Notamacropus eugenii: one gene and its partners. Each later gene encodes a partner of the first gene's protein in a complex. Links are inferred from orthologs where the notes say so. Each region holds a gene or a part of one and is shown on either strand. Other genes may lie near its edges.

Region 1 (6,915 bases):
TTTAGTATTCATCTCTGGAAATGCTGAGAAAGTATTACATGGCCAAGTGCGGTAGTCTTCACCTGAGTTTCTCAACTAGTACAGGAAAAAAACAGTAAAGATGGTACTGTGCTGTACATTTGGACACAACCCAAGCTTTGCTGATGGAATCTCACTTGTTAGAATGTAAAAGCCCTGGGCCAAGTTTCCATTCTAGTGGCAACACTAGCCTAGAACAGAAATGACACAGGCAAATCCTCTCTGCCCTGGACTAAGGTGAGGAAGCTACCTCCAGGTTCTTAAAGGGAGAAATTCCAGGAAATGAGAGGTTTAGGACTTGTTTTGAATTCTGTAGGACTGACTGTCAAAGTCATTCTACATGCTCCCAGATTTCCCATTATATGATAACTTCTGAACAATACCAGACAGGGCATGCTGATCTAACATGCTACATGTCCCTCATTCTTCGTTCCTCTCCTCTGGGCCTCTCCAACTATATTCCCATCTCCTGCTCTTGCTATCTCTCCACTGACCCTTTCTCTCTGTAACATAAAAGGGCAAATCAAGGAACAAGAGTGGAAAGGACCAAAAGGCGTTTCTTTAGGACAGGGATCGGGAACCTGTGGTCTCGAGGCCACATGTGACCCTCTAGGTTCTCAAGTGTGGCCCTTTGACCGAATCCAAACTTCATAGAACTTCCCTTAATAATGTGAAATTTGAGGGCCTAGACTAGGGCCACATGTGGCCTTGAGGCTGTAGATTCCCCACCCCTGCTTTAGGGGAATTATTGATAGTGGCAGGCCTGAACAGGTGAGAAAGATAGTCTCTAGGATATCTTGCCCTGACAAATAGTATTCAGCAAAAGTTTGAGAGTCATTAGTCTATTCCTGACTCAACTGACCACTAAGACATCTGACTCTAGATACTCTCTATGATGTAATGAAGGTTGCATATGGAATGGCTTGAGCAGTCAGCCCCACTCTCTACTGTAGCAAGAGCTGTGTAGAGACTGTACCAAGTGTAGACTTTGCCAAAGGTTAAGTCCTCTGTTGTACTTAGTTCTGCTATTAGCTGAAGTGGGATTCAGTAATGGCTACAGATAAAGTATGTGTGTGTGTGTTTGTGTGTGCACACAGGTTGCATGGATGGGCATGAGTGTGTGTATGTGTATGGATGTTTGAGTATGAGTGTGAGTATGTTTGGATGTGTGAGTGTGTATGTGTGTGACAGTGTGTGTATGTGTGTGTGTGTGTGTGTGTGTGTATGTATGAATGTTTGGAGGCTAGAGGACATGGTCAATAAAACAATTGTACCACCAGTTCAAGAATTTCTAAGGAGAACCCTAACTGTATAGACGAACTTGTATAGACAAGCAATTATCAGGTCTTTACTGTGTGCCAAGCCCTGCGCTAAGTGTTGAAGTTATAAAGAAAGGCATTCAATATGAACATTGAAGTTCACTACAGGTACTAAAGTTCACAACTATCAAATTAGTCACCCTTGAGAGAATAAATATCACAGAGAAGGGTGGAATGTGCCCCTATGGAAAGGACATCACTTCTTAGAAATGATCCACTTTCCCCCTTGGCACCTCTACACTATCCCCCACTTCTCATGCCTACTACCTTCAGATGGTACAGCCCAGGATAAGGCCAGCTGCTCTGTTTTTCCACTGGAGAAGATGAGTCAGTGAACAGTGGGGTTCCACTTAATCACCACCCAAAAACAAGGCCTTAAAACCAGGGGGTGGCATTGCCTCCGAGCTCAGTTTTTCCTTCATGTCAGGGAGTTTATTCCTCTTAGGAGACACAGGGTGAGAAAGCACATGTCTAAGAGACACATGTTCCCAAACTTCCCCATTGCCTCCTTCCTCCAGCAGTTCCATCCCAAAGGGACCCGCAAAGTCAGGTCATTTCCCTTTAAGCTACCACCGCATCTACAAGTTTTCCTGAGGTTGTGGGATGGAATCTCAACTCGCAGACTGAGGAGCTAAGCCTAAAAGGTTTGGCGAACCACGGATTCTCTCCCTCATTCCCTTACTTGCAAAGCATCAAGTGAGTAGACAGAGGGCTCAGATATCAAATCACCATTCACAAGCTTTCACAGATGAGTTGTCTGACAACTCTAGGTTTACAGAACTGATTTGGTCCTGATAACCATCCTCAATCTTTTCCCTGACACCCCAACCCCTAACTGCCCCAAGCAAAAGAAATACAAGATGCTGTTCTTTTAGGTCAACCCAAATGAATTTTCAGTCATTTTAAAATAAAATGTTTATGGACATGGAAGAAAATGTTGCTATAGGTAATTTTTCTGATGTTCAGTAGCCTTTGATGGAATTCCAAGAGCAAAGAGGTGGCCAAGTCATCAGTGTTGATACTTAGAGGAATTAGTTCTGGCCTCTGACCCCTTAATATCAACTACCTCTGAGACTCTAAGATATAAGCCTCAGCTTAGCTGTCCAGAGAACTCTGCCTATCCAAGTCATACTATTATTTACAAGACTTGTAATGGTTTATTTCCTCTGTTTAGCTCAAAGAAATAGCACACAAAATTCGAGAAGCAAGAATCCTAGAGGAGATATCTAAAGAACATACAAGCAGCCCAAAGGAGCTAAATTTTTAACTTGCTCTTTCTTGAGAGTCTACCTTCTTTTAATGCCTGGACCCCACAGGTAGACTAGACTACCACTAAAGTCTCTTCCAGCTCTAAATCTCTGATACCACAGTTCTTAGACAGTTGAACTATTTTATTATTTGTCTAAGAGACCCCATGCACACTGAGGTGTCTGCATCAGACTCACCAGAAACTCGCTAGCACACTCTTCCCCAATGAGTTTCTTGTTTCTGGCCTTGTCCAGGTACTTCTGTAGGATTTCTCTTTGGTCCATGGTGCAAAGCAGGAGCACCCCAGTCTGTCAGGGGGCTAGGAAAGGGCATGTCAAATGTGTGTCATGGTCGAGACACCACTGTAAGAGCAGTGCCTGCTAAACACTGTGGTTTACTGACTTCATCACAAGCCCTAGAGGAAATTAGTGCGTAACAGCTTCTGTGGTCACACAACAAAGCCATCCCCTCCCACCCAGGCCCTAGCACCTCCCTTCCCAACAAGGGAACCTAGTTATATGAGAGTTTTTGACAAACAGGAGACTAACCAGAATAAAACATGTGGTCTGCTTACCCCTCTGCTCCAGATGCCTTCACCACACCACCCTTTAAGCCAAGTATACCTTTGCTCTTCCTATTTCCCATGGAGAAGCTTAAACTGTACAGTGCTGAGGCTTCCCTTCATTGCCACAAATTTAGAAAGCTCTTAATAAACCGATTGTTTTCTCACACCTGGGGATGAACTCTAAAAAAGTTAAATTTTGGCCTAGGAATGTAGCTAGACACCATTAGAATTGACCAAGGACTGATTAACAGCAAGGACAGTCCTACCATTTCCTTCCTGCCATTAGTGACTAGTAAAAAATATCCCTCTGTCCTTCAGACCTGAGTAGGCCCTTTTTTTATTCAAAGTTCTCACTTACCATGCCCTGCCTGAAGTACTGATTTCCTAGTCTCTCCTGTTTTAAGAAGCTTATGTCTGAGCACCTTCTCTACTTCCTGCCATATTGGGGAAATGAAGGAAGGCTTGCTGGGTTCCAATCCAGAGACCTTTTCTGGGGTACTGGAGGATCCTGGTCACAAAGATAGTGATGGTCTTGCCTCCTCATCCAGCCCAGCTCCCACGTGCTGGATGGGTGAAATGACCACATGGAGCACCCAGTGAGTGACTCCAGAATTAAAGTCCAATAAATTCCTTAAATCTACCTCATTCACCTCGGTACAGCACAGGAGCAGAAGCATCTCAGTTGCCCTTTGAATTCCTATCCCACAGCAGGTACTTGGTAAAAATTCATAAAAGATCATGAACAGCTCCCAGGAAAGACTGTGAATAAGCTTAGAAACTTCACATGGCTATAACTTCTGTTATTTTAGGTTTTGGTAGCACTATCTATTTTGCAACACAGGCTCCAGCTCCTTCAGAATACCGTAACTGTAGAGTTTCTTAGGCTACTTTCAGTTACTAAGCGGCAGAGAGGAAACCCTGTCCTGAGATGCACCCATAAGGAAAACACAATTTTAGAAAATGCATGCAGGTAATTTATGACTTCCATTCTGAATGCACAATGCCAACCTCAACAAGATAAGATAAGAGGACCCATGTAAATCTTTAGCAGCAGTGTTGATGCAGGAAAGGTTGGTACTTCTCAAATGAGCTCCATTTAATGATTAAGGGGGAGTTCATGATCCACAGGCCATGCTTTTTTAAAAAACACACCACACTCCACAGTAATGTCCTAGAAATCTCAAGAGAGAAGACAAAATATCCTTGCTTCATTTCTATATCTAGAGATAGAGACTTTCCAAATGAAATTCCTTCTCTTCAGAATAGTAAAATACAGTTCCAAAAGATGATAATTTCTCCAAATTTAACCAAGAGAATACAGGAAATTGGTCAGACAGGGAGAATGCTAATACCATGTCACATTCATGAGAACCCTCAGCACAGATCTGCTTCTATTAGAAACAATAATCCAAGCAAAGATACCTGGGGCAGGATGAAATGGAAAAAAGCCTTAGGCCTGAATTTGAACACTTGCTCTTTCTCTCTGTGACTTTGGGTAACCTACTTAACTTCCCTGGGCCTCAGTTTTCTTATCTGTAAAAGGAGAGGGGTTGGACTAGGTAACCAACTATGGTTCCTTCCAGCCTTTAACTCTGCTATCTGCTAGGATTTTTTTATTCAGCCTAAAGACCTATTGAAGTTCAATTTCTCACTATATTCTTTTGCCTCTTAATGTGTGTAATTGGATGGAGGGGAAGAAAACGAGAAGATATGAGTGCTTTATAAATTTCCTATTCTGAATCCAAAGATCTGAAAACAGGGTCCTAGGAGAACTGTAATTCTTTGTCCTCTGTTAAGCTGCAGTTCTAAGGAGTTTGTTCTGATCTAAAACTGAAAGATATTAGAAACCCCATTAAAAAAAAAACCAAACCAAACCTAACCACAAACGTGTACATGGCTATCTTCTGAGCAGACCATTCAAGGGAGCCCAAAGGAAACGGAAAAAACAAACTCTCCTCTTCTTTTTGAAGCTTCTATTTGTAACGAACCAAAGCCAAATTGACATTTAGTCTTTGCAAGTTTCCCTCAAATTCATCTGAATGGCAGTACTTTACGGTGGGGATGATGTTGACTCATTTGCATCCTGTGCAGTGATCAAGAACAGCTAAGGGAAAATATATGCAAAGAAGGTGGAAATATACCTAAAAGAAGTTTAGAATTGGTGACCAAACATTTAAGTAGGCCTGGCCAAGTGTCCTAAGTGCCCACAACTAATGTGAGCCTCAAGAATGTTCAAACACCTGTCTGGAACCTCGCATTGTGAGTATATTGTGAGCACATATCCTGTAGCTCACCCAATGTGAGCTGCAGAAAGAAAAAACCTGAAAGAGCAACTCTAGGGAGCAGAGGAGAAAGAATTGTCCTTCTATGAGCCTGATGGGCTCACTCCAGGTGTCTCTAGTCAGAAGGAAGAGAGCAGTGGAGGGAACAAGTCACTAAATTACTTGTTCTGAACAGCTCATGCATGTGCATGTGTATGTGTATGTGTGTGTTTGCACCCACATGCACACATGCACATGCTCTCACATGTGCTGTCAACAAGTCAAGTGCTTAAACATTTATTAAGCACTTACTACATATCACATAATTGTGTTAAGTGATGGACTGTGTGTGTGCTTTTCCCTGTGTGTAGGAGTGGGGATAGCAACAGCAGAATGTCACAGTTTTACCAAAAACATTGGCCATGGAGAGAGGCCTGGAGGTGGTCTATGCACGTGTTATGAGAGAAATATCTCCTTTCCGAGTTCAGGTGGTGAGCAACTGCTGCCAATTATATAATTACCACAATGTGGAAAATATAGAGGTATTCACATCTCAGAGAAAATCTGAACCATCATGAGCATTCTGACAAGGCTTCACGTGGGCAGAATTACATCAGTCATAGACAAGTAATTCTTTTACATATTGTAATCTTGTATAATCCTCTTTGGTCATAAAAGTTAAGGAGAAGGTAGGTCCATAATCCCATGCTTCTTTCAATGTCATAAAAGTTGAACAAATGTAGTTAAACAGTCATAAATTCATACATCAACTAAGGAAGCAGAGCTTGTTTTAAAAAAACACAACTCTATAGGTAAACTTAGGTATTAGAAAGGTTACAGATTAAACTATATTTAGAGGGTTCACAAATAGGCTGATTGAGGAGGATTTATATGTCACCAAGGAGTCAGGGATAATTGAGATTCTCCCTTTGGTTTCTTCTTTAAAGAGTTCTTAAATCTCTTAAGTAAAGTTTTACATCTTGTGGGACAGCTTTTGTTCAGGTTAATATTAAAACAGACTTTTTGTTAACTAAAAACTGCAGTAGCAATGACCCTGAGTCTCAAATAAGAAAATAAAAATTCTTCCAGTAACATGTGCTATGAGAGAGTCCTGTGGAGGTGGTAATGGATGTCGTGAACACTTTGAGTTAGATGCAGTATCATTGGAGACTCTTAGGCCAGATAAATAACCCGGAATACTTGCAGTTCCAAAATATCAGCAGCTAGCCAAAGATTTAAAGAAACATACTGGAGCCACAAGGTAGGTGAACTACCTCTGGACTTTACTTTCATAGTCAGGGTATGGCAATATTCCTTCCTTTCTGGCCCTTGCTTTCTGGATGTTGAATCCTAAAGCCCTCATTTTACAGATGAGGAAACTAAGGTTCAGATCAAGGACTTGCCCAGGGCTCTACAGGGAGTAAACATCAGAGGCAGAATTTTAGCCCAGGCCCTCACAACGCAAAAGGGATGATTAAAAGAAGTCCCAGAGTGAAAACTTCCC
Region 2 (7,934 bases), on another chromosome or scaffold:
CAGCACCCTCACCCTCAGTTTTTCAGATGAGGAAACTGAGGTACAGTGCAGCCTTTTAGCAAGGACAAAGAACCAGTGTCTGAGGCAGGATTTGAATCCAGGTCCTTATAACAAGTCCAGTGCTCTCTCTACTATTCCATAATACCACTCAAACAATGATAAACATTCAAAGTGGGATGGGTTCTCTCCAGAGGGAGGGGGCTTCCCCTTCCCCCAGCAAAGGAGAGATGGCTGATTTGACATCAAGGGGAATTCTTGTTTAGGTCAAGATGGATGAATGGACTCCTGAGGCCTTGCCCAACTCTGAGATTCTGGGGCTCTATTTCTGGTGGACCACAGGTGCAGGGTGAGCCCATGGCATGAACCAGCATCCCCAAAGCTCACATCATCTCAGGCTATTGGATAATAATCCCACTTCCCCAGTCAGACCTCGCCTGCATAGTAGGCTCCATTCTGGGTGTCAAGTCAGCAAGGGTCAGAGGAGGACAAAAGGGGCAGTGAGAGAGGCCTGGAAGCCACGCCATACCAACACTGGGCAGAGGAAGTGGCACGTTCTGAACTGGAGAAGAGAGGGCTTAGGAGGGAGTAGTCATTGTCTTCAGAGAACTGAAGGGCCTCCATGTCAGAGACCAGATCTGCCTGACCCAGTCTGGGGGAAGGTATACAGAAGCAGTTGAACTACCTGCAGAGTGACCCCCTCAGATCTCCTCTGTTTTACCCTATCTATGGCTAGGTTGAATGTTGCTGTTGCCTTGTTGTCTTCTCCATTAGACTGTGAATTCCTTGAGGGCAGGGGCTCTCTTTGGTCTTTTTTTGTATCCCCAGCACTCTGCACAGTACCTCGTACATAGTAGGTGTCCAATAAATGTCTATTGACTGGCTGACACATAGTAGACATTTAAATGATTGATAAGTGACTGGTTGGTGCATAGTGGGTGCTTAAATGCTAATTGACTAGGTGGCGCATAGTAGGCACTTAAATGCTTGATATCGAATTGACTGGTACGTAATAAGAACTTCAATACTTATTGACTGGCTGGCACATAGGAGGCACTTAAATGCTTGATGAGTGACTGACTGGAACACAGTAGGCACTTAAATTTGTTGACTGTATGGCACATAATAGGCAATAAATACTTGTGGACTTGAAGTACAAGGGAAAACTTCTTGATGATGACAGGTCTCCCCAAAATAGAACATGCCATCTCATAAGTAATGAACTCCCCAACATTGCTGGAGGTCTTCTGGCAGAGGCTAGATACTCCCCTGCCTAGGATGCCACAGAGGTGATTCCCATTCAGGCTCCAGATGGACCAGAGGACCTGGCAATGCCTATCTTGGGGGAAAAGGTGTCCTGTCCTCAGCTCCTACAATGCAGTGCAAAGTCAACTGGATTTCAAATCAGAGGCCAAGGTTACACTTTAAACTCTCAGCACTCAGTCTGTGCAGCACTTCACTTTTCTGTGTCTTGGTTGTCTTATCTGTAAAATGAGCAGGCTAGACAGATTGCCTCGGGTCCCCTTCCAGCTCCCAACCTATGAACCGATGACACACATATTGATGTAAAATGTATCACACAGAATCTGATGGTTTGCGTGGCCCTCTACTCATATCATCTCATCTGAGCCTTGAAACAAACCTATGGTGTCATTCAGCCAACCAGCATTATTAAGTGCCTACTGTGCGCCAAGCACCGTGCTAAGCATTATGAGGTAAATGCTCTTATCCCATTGAAAGAGCTGAGGAAACAGGCTCAGAGAGATTGTCACAACTCAGGCCACCAAACTGACGAGCATCGAACTCAGGTCATCCTGACCCCAAAGCCAAAACACTACAGACAGTGGCTCTCCTGTAAAATAAGGATGATTACCAAGGTCCCTTCCACCTTTTGATTCTATGATCCTCACCCTCACCTGTGGAACGAGCCACACACTAATCTTCAGTCAGACCAAAGGCTGAGACTTCGAGTCAGAAAGACCTGAGCTCAAATCCAGCCTCAGACACTTCCCAGCTGTGTGACCCTGGACAAGTCACTGAACCTTGGTTTGCCTCCATTTCCTCAACTATAAAACGGGGGTACTAATAGCACCTCCCTCCAAAGGCTCTTGTGGTAGGTGCTTAATTTTGCTTATTTCCTTCCTTCCTATTGGGCAAAAACCCTGATAATTTCTCTGAGCACAAGTGGCTCTCTGACCTTTCCTACAACATGTATCACATTTGAACCAGAAGCTGCCTGGCAGGCAGGACATCTTCCTCCATATATGGGTCACAGCCCACGAGAAGCCAAGGCCTGTCAGTTGCCAGGGGGCTTTCTCCTCTCAGTACCTGGCCCAAAGAGCCCAGAGGGAATCTAGTGTCCTGGAGAATCTGTTCCACCAAGGGGAGGAGGGAACACTGGTGGGGCGGGTCTGAGAGAGAAAGAGAGAGAGAGAGAGAGAGAGAGAGAGAGAGAGAGAAAGTCCCATGCCACCTGGATGCCCTGGATGCAGGCCAGGAGCAAGCTGAAGACTAAGGTAGGGAACAGAAAATAGAACCAAGCGTTTGACATTTAAGGGGAAAAAATGGCCAGTCCAGACTTTCATACATCCTCAGCCCTCTCTTCACCAAGAGGGATAAACAGAACTCTCACTGTGGCAGAAGCAAGAGGAAGCTGGGGGGAGGGGAAGGTCACTTCCAAGGGGGCCCTTTTCCTTCATTTTCTTCACTTAACAAACGTCAACCAAACACAGCGACATCTATTCAGCTGGAAAACTTGGGGAGGTAGAGGGGAGGTGACAGCCAGACCGTCTGGGGGAAGAGAAAGCCGCTCACTCACCCAAAAAGCATCTTTGAACTGCAGCTGGGTCATGGTGCAGCCTGGTTCTAGCCCAGGTCTCTCTGGAGCCGGCACAGCAGCCTGAAGAGGTCCCAGTCGGGCCTCTGACTCACCCCACTAGCCAAGGGGGGAAGAGATTCACCCCTCCAGTCACTTGAGGTGTTTCTGTCTGCTTCTCTCTCTTTCTCTCTCTCTCTCTCTCTCTCTCTCTCTCTCTGAGCTGTTGATGGAAACCCAATGAGGACTGAAGTTTAAAAAAAGGGGGCTGAACCTGTTTTGATTTTTTTTTTTTTTTTTGGTGAGAAGTCCAGAAGCCACTGAAATAAGGAAGTAGAAGCTGCTCCGTGATGTAAGCCCTGGGCCTGCCCTTGGCTGGACCTGCAGAAGAGCTCCCAGTACCTACAGAATCTCTTTTCAAAGTGATGGTCTCTCAAGCCCAGCCCAGAGGGCAGCCTTCTTCCCTTCAAAGGGAGGGCCAACAGTCAGAAACAGAAAGCAGAAAAGAAGACAGGAACCGGCAGGAAGGGTGTCCTCCCTCCCTCCCCCTGCCGCCAGCCCTAGCCCCCAGGCCTGGGCCTCTGCAGGAACAGTGCTGTCATGACATCTTGACACCATGCCTTCTTTTGCAATGGTGAGCATCCCCACACAGGAAATGTGGCTTCTCAGATGCCCTATGCAAGTAAGTTTCCTTCGAGGGCCCCCAACTGAATCAAGGAAATCATTGTGTTCAACCGCTGTCTCTGCCTTTCTCCACTTGGCTTCAGGGAGGTCCTGGGGCTGAAGGGGCAGACCAGGCCTCTCTTGAGGGCTGCTAGCATCTTCAGTGCATCTCTCACCCACGGACAGCAGCGGGGGCAGAAACAGCCCATCTTGGGGATTCCTTGTGGGGTCACGAAGGAGAAATGGCTCCCATGGAGGAAGGGAAGGCATTTGAGAGAGAGGGGATCGATCACAGGATCACAAGTCTGGGAGGTGTCATTTCCAGGCAGAAGACATATGGTCACCCCTCTCGTTTTATAGACAGGACACTGAGGCCTACAGAGAGGGGAAATAATTTGCCTGAGGCAACACAACTGGTAAACCCAAACCCAGGAATTAGACCCAAACAAGAGCACCAATAACTAGCATTTACACAAAGTTTTAAGGTTTACAAAGCACTTTACCAACATTATGTCATTTTTATCCTTACAACAACCACCCTGGGAAGTAGGTGCCATTATTATTTATTGTTATTCCCATTTTACAGATGAGGAAACTGAGGCACAGAGAAGTTAAGTGATTTACCCAGAATCACACCACTACTAAGTAATTAAGTCTGGATTTGAACTCAGGTCTTCCCCAACTTCAGACTTTCATACTTGTATCCACTGCCCCACCTCAGTGACTCTCAAATACTGCAAAGCCTGTGACCTCTGACCCAGACCATACTGCTTTTCTGAACCTTCAGATTAAAAGCCCTTGGACATCCTGACTTGTCCCTCCCCAGTAAAGCATGACCTCGGAGTCTCACAATATAAACCAGGTTTATACTTCCACTCTCTCCCAAGTAGAAGGTGGAGTGGGGATCCTCAAGGCTGACTAGAGGAGAAAGTGAGATTGGTGACTCTGCATAGCCCTGCCTCACTTAAATCCAGTCCACTTGCATGTCATGGCATCACCTCTGCAATGTCATGGTCATCTTCGAGAACGAAGGACAAACTGCAGCAACTGGGGAGCAACTTCTACTCTTGAACAGAATAACATGACCAGACCCACACTTTAGGAAAATCCCTTTGGCAGCTGATCAGAAGATGGAAGTGGAGCATATTGGAGGCTTGAGGCAGGAAACCAACCAGGTTATTCCAATAGTCCAGAGGAGAGGTGATAAGGGCCTTCACCAGGGTGGTGGCTGTGGGGGTGGAGAGAAGGGGATATTCTGCAGGTGAATGTCAGGGGTGAGTGAGGGGCAAAGCTGGGCAGCCAGAAAGATGCATGTGTTGTTAGAAGCCCTAGGGACGTCTGGAAGAAAAGTGGGTTGGGAGGAAAGATAACAGACTGAGATCTGGTCTCTGGGCTCACTGGTCCTGCGTGACTCATTCTATCCTCGGCTTTCTAAAGGGGCCTGGTCAAGGGCCCCTTGCTCCCTAGCCACCATAAAGAGTGAAGATCCAGCACAATCAACCCCACTGGAGCCACAAGGTCATGGGGGTATGCTGAGGGTTGGGGAAGCAGCTGCTCTGAAGTGATAGTCTCTGAGGGCCACCGCTTTCCCCACCCCCTACCCCCCCGCCCCCCCGCCCCACAGCATGGTCCGAGGTGGGGACATAGCCTGAGAGAGACAAGGCCCAGAATTGGGAGGATACAACAGAAGATATCTTCCCACCATCTGACTGGGGTCGAGCTACAGCTTCTCAGGGGCCCCCACTTTGGAGACCACTTGTAGAGGGAGATTCCAGTGAAGATATTCTCTCTGTTCATGAGCGTATAACTGCTGAGGACCTACAGCCAACATGGGTCAGATGCAGGATTTGAGCCCAGGCCTTCTGAGCTTCAAAGTCAGCCTTCTGTCCCCTGTGCAGCCTTGCCTTTCTATTGAGAGAGGTTATAAACCTTTATAGCCAGTGCTCTTCCTGCCATTCCGCAGACAAGATCATAGCCTTCGAGCCTCCTCAGACTGGGGTCTTTGACACCAAATTCATGTCTACTACTATACCCCACAGTGTGTTCCCAGACATCCAGACTACCCATGGAGCATGGGCACAGGGCATAGGTCTGGCAGCAGATCAGCAGGGAGCCCCTACTGTCCTTCTCCTTTTGTTCCTCCCTCCTGTGACGGTACCATGGTCACCCACCTTTTTTATGTTTCTCCCCCTTTACCTCAGCCCCTCGAATCCCTGATTTCCTTCAAGATACGATCCAAGTGCCACTTTCTCCCTCACCCTGTTCCTGACCCACAGCCCAGTCTCCCCTATTAGAGCGCCAGGCCTAAAGTCAGGAAGACTCATCTTGAATTCAAATCTAGACTCTGACACTTACGGTATGACCCTGGGCAAGTCATTTAACCCTGTCTGCCTCAGTTCCTTCATCTGCAAAATGGGAATCATGACAGCAGCTACCTCCCAGGGTTGTTGTGAGAGTCAAAGAAGATCATGATTGTAAAGTGCTTAGCACAGTACCTGACACATAGTAAGTTCCATATCAGTATTAATTGTGATTATTATCACAAGATGGAGAATCAGGAGAGCAGACAGCAACTTGGACTCCTCAAGTCCAAGGAAGGAACTCAAAAACATCTGGAGAAAAGTGGCAGCAGGGAGTACTGGCGGTTCTCCCTGGATATTTAAGGGAGTCAGAAAGGGGGAGGAGGCTGTTACATCTTGTCCGGTTTGTAAGTGCTGATGAGAAAAGAATTTGGTGAGAGTACAGTCAGGGGGAAAATGGTGTATTGGAAAAAGTGCTGGACTTAGCATGAAAAAGACTTGGATCTGAGATAAGGTTCTGGCATCTATTAGAGGTGAGCGTTTGGCCAAATCATTTTTGCTCCTCTAGCCATAGCATTAACTAGAGGGGGGTGGTCAGGGCTTTGTCTCAGGGCACCTAATACAAAAGGTGTTGACATCCTTGGGCAGCATAGAAACAATAAAGTACTGTGCCCAGCACAGTAAGAAAATTTCTTTAAAATAGGAAACTACCAGATGGCAAGCTGGAGCAATCTCCTCTGTTACCGTGCTGACACACTCCCAGGAATGATCTCATGATGGGGTCCTGAAGAAATCTGTCTCCCCTCTCCAAGGAATGATGTCTTCCTCTCCCCCTCAAATGAGTACATCTCATGTACCTCTTATTCCTGATGCAGAAATTCCTATTATGGCTCGCTCTCTGTCTCTGTCTCTGTCTCTGTCTCTGTCTCTGTCTCTGTCTCTCTTTCTCTTTCTCTTTCTCTTTCTCTGTCTCTGTCTCTGTCTCTGTCTCTGTCTCTGTCTCTCTCTCTCTCTCTCTCTCTCTCTCTCTCTCTCTCTCTGTCTCTCTCTCTCCCTCCCTCCCTCTCTTCCTCCCTCTCTCTCTTTCTTTCCTTACCCCCCTCTTTTTCTTTCCCCCCCAATGAAGGATTTAGATTAGATAACCTCAAAGGTCCTTTCCAGCTCTAATATTCTGTGATTTTGGAAGTGTGAGGGAGGGGCCAGCTGAACGTAGTCCTTGAGAATAAGGACATTTTTATTACTTTATTTAATCCACTTGCACACAGTAGGTGTTTAATGAATGTTTGTTGAATTGGAACTCAAAGGGGTGAGGCAGCTCCAGCAACCACAGTGCTTGGTTGTGGGACTTCTTCCTTTGCATCATCACTAGGGTGGATGTGGGCATTTGTAGTTCTCTGGTCAAGAGCTTGTCTCATGCTATCCCAGAGCTTATATGTGGAGAGAAATAGAATTCAGTAAGTGGTAATGTAAGTAGAACTTGAGAAGACAGAGATGATCAAAATGATAGAGAAAGCGATGGAGATGATAGAGAGATAGAAACTGAAATAGAGATGGAGAGTTGATATGGAGATAGAAACAGAGAAGTGAGACAGATACATGTATGTGTGTTGATAGGTAGGTGGATGGGTAAATACATAGATGAGATAGAGAGATAAATGATAGCTGGATTAATGGGTGGATAGATAGATGATATATAGATAGTTAGGCAAGTAGATGAGTGGATAGGTTGGTAGGTAGGTAAACAAATAAATGGTCAGGCAGACAGATACATAAAAAGATAAACAGACAAACACATAAATAGACGGATAGATAAATAGACAGATAGGAAGAAAGATTTATTGATAGATTGATGGGTAGATAGACAGACAGATAAAGAGATGATTAGATAGTCAGACAGATAGATGGATGGATGGATGAAGGGAGGGTGGGAAGGAGGGAGGGATAGATAGATGATAGATAGATAACATTTGGAGTCCTACAAAGTACTTTCTTCAGAAATACCCTGGGATGTGTAAAGTGAGAAACTGAGCTGATCAGAGTTATGTAACTTGCCTGTGGTTATATAGCCAGTAGGCACCAAAGCCAGGACACAGCTAGATCTCCTGACTCAGTCCAGCAATCTTTCCACATTAGTAGGTTACCTCTCTGGGCACATCCCA
Region 3 (7,912 bases), on another chromosome or scaffold:
GAGAGTCATACGGAATACTCACAAGAACTGGGAGTGAGGGATTTAAATGACTTTGAGCTTGGATACTGGACTCTCCCCAACTCTCCTTTGAGGGAGAAAGTGTGGCTGGAACCAGCTCGTGGGAATCAGCCTCCAAGGAAGGCAAAGGCTGACCCTTGGCTCTGTGCTAAAGGAACCGAGTCTGGACACCTCTAAACTATGCCTCAATAATGTTTCTTCTTCCTGCGACACACACCAGAGATGAGGTCAAAAAGCTTTTAAGAGATAGGTGCCCCACATCCCTTTCCCCCCCACTACCCCAATTCTCTCCTTAGAGACAGTTTCCTTGCCAAGGAAATTTCCAAGTGTTTCTCTGACTCTGCTATCAGACCCTGGAATTCAGGTACTCTGAGGTGGTCATGGCAATGGTACAAGGCAGTATGCCTCTGGGGGTAGAAGCCACCTTAGTGACCAATCAGGCATAAAGATGACATTCAGCTAGAAAGTTAGGATCTCCCCCCGTTCCCTGCCAAGTTTCCTGGCTCCCCTTACCATCCCAAATCAAAGAGAAAGGAGGAAGATGAAATGTGGGGCTTCTGAACATATGAGTCCCTAGTTAGCCACATCACCCTTCCTGTTCTGCTAGTTACCTTCTGTATCCCTGAACATGAAGAATTCTTACCCAGCACAACCAGGTCTATGGGTAACTCATATGGGCAAAGCTCTCTCCAAGGAAAGCCAAGGACACCAAGTTACCTCAGTAGTTACCACCTCCCTCCAAAAAAAAAAAAAAATCAAAAGCTCTAATCACTCCCCACTCCACACATTAAATTTTAATCATAGCTGACAGGATGGTTGCTTTGAAGATAGAAAGACAAGGTCTGAGTCCCCAAAGCAGCTGAGACTTCAGAGCCCAGGACCCCAATAAGAGGAAGCAAGCCTGGGGGAGGGATGCCCCAGGGCCAGTACCCCACTCTGAGCCATAAACCTGCCAGCTGGGTACTTTCTCCAAACCTCTCTTCTCCAGATGCCTAGATCTGCAGCCCAGCTGAGCACATGTTAAGCCTCTCAGGGCCTGGCTCAGTCTGTCTTGGCTACCGCCTGCTCAAGGAACAGTTTTGGTTTCTATTAGTTGCTCCACCTCTCCCAGTGTCAGGAAGTAATTTAATGTGTGACTATGGCCGAGTCACTTCTGGGCCTCGGTTTCCTCATCTGTAAAATGAGGAACAAGGACTAGACTACCTCTAAATAAACTTGTTTCCAGTTTTAAATTCTATGACCCTAACTTTGGGCAAACCCCTTTTCTTTTCCATGCCTCACTTTGCCCCAAAGTAAAATAAAAGAGATTGGTCTAAATGTTCTCTAGGTTCCTTTTGCCTTAATTCGATGACTCCAATCCTGGATGTCTAACACAGGCCTAGGTGTCCAGGCAGAGTGGGGCGGGGAAGGGGAAAGATGCAATTCACATGTGCAAGACCAGCTCCCTCTAGGTGGTACAGGGGGCTTTGTTTCCAAGGCTGCTCTCCCTGGCTACCCAAGGATGCAATCTGGGGATGGCGGGCTAGAAGGAGCAGTCCCATCCAGAGAGGGTATTTCAACCTCTTCAGTGGGAGTCAAATCGAGGAAACTAATCCTCCGAAATCCTGTCCTGGGTACAAGTAGCCCAAAGTCGGGTGTCTGAGCCTGAGTCCTAAAGCATGGGTTGGGGAACCAGGAGCATTGTGCACAGGCCGGCGTGAGCAGCCCTGTTGTCAGGCTTCAGGCTCCGTCAGCAGGTTGCACGGTTACAGCGTAGAGGGTGGGAATGGGGGTGGGGTGGGGGGGAGAATGGAAGGGGAGGAGAAGATAGAGCTTGGGGCAGTGCTGGCAAACCCCCAGAGACAATGAAATGGCTTCTCTTTCCACACACCCCCACCTTGGTCCAGTCTGACCCCACCCCATGTTGGAAGCTTAATTCCTCCTCCATCAGCCACATGCCCGTCCTGCACAGTCCCACTAAGGGAAGGCTGGCATTATCCTGGGTCCCCGCCCCATCCTTGCCCCTCCAAAGCCGGGACTGAGGCTCCGAGCTCTTGGGTGGAGGAAGATAAAGGGCTGGCGAGGATTTAGTCAGAACCTCTTAAGGAGTGGAGTTTTTTCCAGTCCCCCACGCAGACCCCACTCGAACCCCCCGGTAGGCCCCGGGGCGGTGAGGACCCACCAACTTGGCACTGGGCTCGCCTGCCCCACGGGCCCGGGACCCATCTCGGAGGACGGCTTATTGCCCGGGTCTACACCGTGACAGCAACTCCCGGGAGAATTCAAACCCGTCGGAGCTCGGGTGGGGGAGGGGAGCGGCCGCGGGGAGGGCGGGAGCCGGCCAAGGACCAGTAGGTTCCGGGGCTGGCGATCTCCACCCAGCTCGGGCCGCCGCGGCCAGGGCCCCGAACGCCGGGCACTCACTCACCTCTCTCCGAGCGCTGCGGTCCGATCCACTTAGCCGCCGGCGACATCAGTGGGCTGCGGGACAGTCCATGTGGCCGGGGGCTGGGTGGAGGCGGGGGGCGGGGGGGCGCCCTGGTGGGAGGGGTCCAAAGGAGCGGGGGGAGGGGGGAGGAGAGAAGGAGCGGGAAGAGGGCAGCGAGAGGCTGGGCCGGGGAGCACCGCTCGGCCCGGGTCGGGGAGGGAGGAGGAAACAATGTAGCCGCCGCGGCCCCGGGAGAGTTCCGCTTCCGAACGCCGCCGCCGAGCCTTGAGGTGGGGACGTAGCGCGGGCCGCCTGGGCAGCCCAGACACGCGACGTTTGGCTCTGGAGCGGGGCGGGCCCCGGCGTCCCAGCCCCCCCGGCACCGGCGGCCCGGGCTGGAAGCGGGCTGGACGGAGGAACGGACCCGACGGCTCCCGGCCGGACTGGAGGCCGGCGGCGGCTGCCCCCACCCCGGGAGCGCGGCGGGAGGGGCGGGGCGGGGCGGGGCGGGGAGGGGGGGGAAGACTGGCGGCGCGCGCGCGCGTCCTCTGCTGCGGGGGCCGCCCCCTCCCCAGGCCCTCTCCGGCTCAGCTGGAAGGAAGCTCGCAGGCCTGGCCGGAGGAAGCGGAGCCTGGATCCATCCGCCTGTAGCAGCGCGCCTGCGCCAAATGGGCTGGACCCGCTCGCGGACCGGGCGCGAGCGGGGAGGCTGCGCCACCTACTGGAGGCCACGGGCATCGCATGGGGGTGTGTCCAGGTCCCCGCGTCCCGAGCCTCACATCTTGGCCGCCGACCCAATGGCAGCCGGACGCCTGAAGTCGGGGGTCGCTCATCCCGGCAGGTGGGCGCGGAGTTGGAAGCCCGAGACAGTGACCCGCTCGCCGCCCTTCGCCTGCAAAGTGGTGAGTGGGCACCGGTGGGCGCAGTCCAGACGGCTCCCTCAGAACTCCGGGCCGGCCGGGGGCAGGGCGGGGAGCTCTTCGTCACTTTGTGATCAGTGCGAGCGCACGGCCTGACGGCACCCCGGGACAGGACTGGAATAGCCCGAGGATCAAGGTCTAGAGGTCAAGTGTACATGGTCAGAGCCCTTACTGGTGTAACCGAGTGTGTGTGTGTGTGTGTGTGTGTGTGTGTGTGTGTGTGTGTGTGTGTGAGTGTGTGTGCACGCGCGTGCTCTGTGTGTGTGTGTGTGTGTCTGTGTGTGTGTGCGTGCGCTGTGAGTGTGTGTGTGTGCTGTGTATGTGAGTGTGAGTGTGTGCGTGCTGTGTGTGTGAGAGTGAGTTCGAGTGTGTGTGTGTCTGCTGTGTGCCAGTACCGTGCTAAGCCTGGCAGGGTAAAGGAAGGTAGAAGACAGCTCCTTCTTTCAAGGGACTCACAGGCTTCACTGCCAAACTAAGCGGTCTGTGGTGGGTGGTCCGGTGGAAGGGACACTAGCTTTGTGCCCAAACCAGGAGCAATGAGGAGTTGTTAGAAAGAAGAGAAGCTTCTCCCCAACGATTAGAGCAATTAAGAAGCAAAATGGGCAGCCTTGGGGAGAGGGCAGTTGATTTCCCCTCACTGGGGTGTCTTCAAGCAGAGGCTGGCTGACCATTTGTCCAGTATGTCCTAGAAAAGATTCTCCTTCAGGGGTGAATTTCTCTAGATGACTCCCAAACCTCCACACCCTAAGATTCTCTGGTTCACTTGGGGGAAAGGAGATTCACACACTTGTAACAGACTAGACAGGATAAGTTGGCCATAATCATGGAAGGGATTGTGCAAAGATTGAGGATCCTTAAGAGAGGCTTCTTGCTGAAGGTAGGACTTTAGTTGAGACTTGAAGGAAGCCAGGGGTAGCCACAAAGAACTAGATACCCTGGATCCCTAGAAAGGTCAGAGTGAACAGGAATGGTACAATATGTTTGGAGGAGGATTTATTTACACCCAGTGTAAATAAACTTAAGGGTTCTTGGAGGGATGGGTTCCCTGGCCTTTAATAAGCTGTAGGGTCACCAGACTTTATGGAGAGAAAAGGGGTCTTCTCCTTTCTCCCCCATAGTCTGGAGGAAGGTAGCCCTACCATTTTCTCGACCCACAGTTTAAGAAATGCTGAAGGGGTCAAGAGTGGAAAAAGTTTAAGAAGCCCTGATCTAGAAGACTTTTTCCCTGCCTGCTCTTAAGAAGACATCTTGGGACAGCTAGGTGACCCAGTGGATAGAGCATTGGCCTTGGAGTCAGGAGGACTCAAACTTACCAGCTGTGTGACCCTGGCCAAGTCACTTAACCCCAATTGGCTCAAAAAAAGTTTTAAAATAATGACAGCTTAGAGACTCCAGGAGTCAAGATGGACATCAACCCTGCCCTTCAAACTGTTGTCATAGTAACCATCCTTTTATGTAGATTTGAGGAGTTACTCCCTTTTTCTAAAACCTTTGGCTCTTTGTCACCACAGTCTCCTGTTTCCATCCTACCTTTCTAGACTGATTTTCTCAATATTCTCTTTCACACATTCTCCTTTCTCAACAAACTGATGATTAGCTCTGATTTTGGTCCTGCTGTTTCCTGATTTAGTGCAGGCTAATTGGAACCTCCCTGCCTCTTTCTTCAAGGCTCAGCTCAGGGGCTTCCTCTGCCAGGAGGCCCTTCTGTATTTCCCCTCAACTAAAGGTGATCTCAAACTTCAGATTTTCCTAAAGCACTTGGTCTGAATTTTGCCTTGGTCCCACTCACTTTCTGTTGTTTTCTTTTGGCAGGGTCAGGGTAGGGAGGCAATTGGAGTTAAGTGACTTGCCCAGGGTCACACAGCTAATAAGTGTCAAGTGTCTGAGGCTGGATTTGAACTTGGGTCCTCCTGACTCAACTACCCACTGGGCCACTTAGCTGCCCTGTGCCATTCACATTCTGTCTTTGTGTTATTCTCCTTTACCTACCTGGTGCATTTCATAGATTACAAACTCTGAATTTGTTGGGATCATTTTTCATCTTTATTTTGCCAGCACTGAGCACAGTGCTTTGTACTAGTCAGTGAACAAGTCTTTATTAAGGGTACCCGATGTGCCTGGCACTGTGTTAGGGTGTTGGGGATAGAAAGACAAAGGATGAAACCATCCCTTCTTTCAAGTACCTTCCACATTCTAATTGGAGAGAAAACAAGTATGTGTTTATACATATACAAATCTGTATCTACCTGTATATATAGGATAAATATGAAGATAATCAATGAAAGCAAAGTTAAATAACCATAAAGGCCTTCAAAAACCCCAACAGCAATCCCAACAACAGGTAGTGAGTCTTCTGACATTTCCTTGGTATTCCCAGCAACATCCCAGAATAGGATCTACATCAGGGCTTCTTAGACTTTTCCCACAATCAACCCCTTCAGCATTTCTTAGTCTGTGGGATGAGAATTAGAACCAGGATAGAATCATAGAGCTACAGTTCCAAAGACCCTTAGAAGCACAACTCCTTTACTTACAGCTGGGGAAACTGAGGCTGGGAGATTATGACTTTCCTCAAATTACCCAGGTAGTAAGGAACAGAGCCACAACATTGTGCTGTACCCCACTGAGCCTCAGAGGTCTTTTAATCCTGCATTTTGGAGATGAGGAGTTCCCAAATGAATTGCTCAAGGTCAAGCAGCTCTCTAGTAACCTGGTTATCAGCAGTTGAACTGAAATTTCGATCTTTAAAGTAGAAGTGAAGCAGGAAACTGGACCCCAAGGAATCCTTGCATTTCCTCAGCAAAGGATTCTGAGTAACAGGAGGAAAGAATATTCACCAAAGCCACCTGTCTCCTGGATTCCTTACGGTGGGGTTAGCACTGAGGCCCTGGGATTGATGGGGGAAGACCTAGTCTGAGAGAGACTACCAACCGATATTGGGGGAGGGGAAGGGGAAAAGAAAGGGGTAGAGAGAGGGGGGAGAGGAAAGGAAAAGGGAGGGAGGGGGAGAGAAATGGAGGGAGAAGAGAAGAGTGAAACACTCTAAATACTAGGTGAAAGGAATAGATATGGAAGATGATAGACAAATGTCCTTCAAGAGTACTGAATTCTCATAGAAGAATTATAGCTAATGGTTTCTCCCATTAGCTATAATTCTTTTATGCAACATGACTAATGTGAAAATGTGTTTAATGGGAACGTATGTGTAGAGCCCATATATGATTGCATGCTGTCTTGGGGAGGGAGGGGGAGAAAAATTTTAAACTTATGGAAATGAATGTTGAAAACTGAAAACAAATAAATTAATAAATTTTGGGGGGAAAAAGAGTTCTGAATTCTCCCCTCTCCTGGGCTCCAAACAAAACTAGCCTTGGCCAATCCAGGGAGGGCCCAGCACTGTGCCTAGTTTATATTCCCTGGCTCACTGTCCCTGTCCCTCTTCCACAAAGTAGCCACTGGGCACCCGAGCTGATGCTAATTTGTCAGAAAATAATAATGAGTCAGAGCAGAGTTAGAGGACGGTTTTCAACACTGTGTGACCCTGGGTGAGTCACTTTAACCTTTCTGTGGCTCAGTTTCCCTTTCTGGAAATTGAAGGTAATGCTGCTGCTTTCCTCATGGTGTTGCTATAAAGGAAGTACCATATAAATGTTGGCTATATGAATGTGAACTATTTCTTATCCTCCTGCCTTGTTATAATGGCAGTGCCTTTTCCATCTCTTTTTCGTTTTTTCATTTTCTGTTTGGGGGCTCGTTCATTCTTGACATTTGTCTCCCCAGGGCCAAGCACATGGGAAGTCCTTAATAAAGCCTTGCTGACTGATTTCAGATGTACATGGTGTGTCACACTTTATTTTTCTATTTTTTATTGAAAACTTTTAATGAACAAAAATCCACTCCTCCCTGACAGAAAACAAAGGCAAAACTTTTGTCACAGATGTGCGTAATCAAGCAAAAGAAATTCCTACTTTGTCCAAAAAATAGATGTTGCCATTTGCGACCAGAATCCATTCCCCACTCCCATGCCCTCCAAAGGTGGTAGCTTGGTTGGTCTCCTGAAACGTGGTCGATCGTTGTGGTGTTCACAGTTTTTAGGGCTTTCATGGTTGTCGCTCACTCTGTGTCTCAGTTCATACAGGTCTTTTTTGTACTTTCCAGATTTATTAAGTGCCTACTAATCACCAGGCACCATGCTAAGCACTGGAGAGACAAAGAAAGGTAAAAGACAGTGTCTGCTCTCAAGGACAAATTGGATATTATCGACAGGGAAGGCCCTGGATTAAAGGGAGAGGAGAAGTCTGAAAAGTCTTCCTGTGGAAAGTGGGATTTTTATCTGGTACTTAAAAGAAGCTAGGAGACATAGATTGTTGGGAGATGGAATGTCTTGTTCTGGACCAAAAAGGAGGCCACTGTCACTGGATCTCAGAGAGAGAGAGAGAAAGGGACAGAGAGAGAGAGGAGGAGAGAGAGAGAGAGAGAGAGAGACAAAGGGAGAGAATGAATATGTGTGTGAGTGTGAGAGAGAGAGAGAGAAAAGGAGAGAATGAATATGAGTGTGTGTGTGTGT

What was found.
Region 2: the proteins of PTPN22 (region 1) and PSTPIP1 are in contact, whole or in part, in a crystal structure (PDB 7AAM), measured with the Homo sapiens proteins. The link is inferred for Notamacropus eugenii from reciprocal best matches to the Homo sapiens genes PTPN22 and PSTPIP1. Residues at the interface, in NP_057051.4 of Homo sapiens: Ser793, Lys794, Pro795, Gly797, Pro798, Arg799, Asn800, Pro801, Pro802, Trp805, Asn806; in NP_003969.2 of Homo sapiens: Thr225, Arg228, Asn229, Trp232, Asn236, Ser239, Met240, Cys242, Val243, Asp246.
Region 3: the proteins of PTPN22 (region 1) and CSK are in contact, whole or in part, in an NMR structure (PDB 1JEG), measured with the Mus musculus proteins. The link is inferred for Notamacropus eugenii from reciprocal best matches to the Homo sapiens genes PTPN22 and CSK. Residues at the interface, in NP_033005.1 of Mus musculus: Pro614, Pro615, Leu616, Pro617, Glu618, Arg619, Thr620, Glu622, Ser623, Phe624, Ile625, Val626, Val627; in NP_001291690.1 of Mus musculus: Phe20, Thr23, Gln26, Ala40, Val41, Thr42, Lys43, Asp44, Asn46, Trp47, Ile59, Pro61, Asn63, Tyr64.

What each region holds. Positions count from the first base shown.
Region 1 is NC_092873.1:292,913,649-292,920,563, forward strand, and holds the start of PTPN22 (tyrosine-protein phosphatase non-receptor type 22), read right to left. Parts: upstream 3,007-6,915; 5' UTR 2,870-3,006; coding exon 2,783-2,869; intron 1-2,782. UniProt on the Homo sapiens protein: Acts as a negative regulator of T-cell receptor (TCR) signaling by direct dephosphorylation of the Src family kinases LCK and FYN, ITAMs of the TCRz/CD3 complex, as well as ZAP70, VAV, VCP and other key signaling molecules.
Region 2 is NC_092872.1:256,746,918-256,754,851, reverse strand, and holds the start of PSTPIP1 (proline-serine-threonine phosphatase-interacting protein 1), read right to left. Parts: upstream 3,015-7,934; 5' UTR 2,849-3,014; coding exon 2,816-2,848; intron 1-2,815. UniProt on the Homo sapiens protein: Involved in regulation of the actin cytoskeleton. May regulate WAS actin-bundling activity. Bridges the interaction between ABL1 and PTPN18 leading to ABL1 dephosphorylation.
Region 3 is NC_092872.1:241,312,082-241,319,993, forward strand, and holds the start of CSK (tyrosine-protein kinase CSK), read right to left. Parts: upstream 3,015-7,912; 5' UTR 2,426-3,014; intron 223-2,425; 5' UTR 23-222; intron 1-22. UniProt on the Homo sapiens protein: Non-receptor tyrosine-protein kinase that plays an important role in the regulation of cell growth, differentiation, migration and immune response.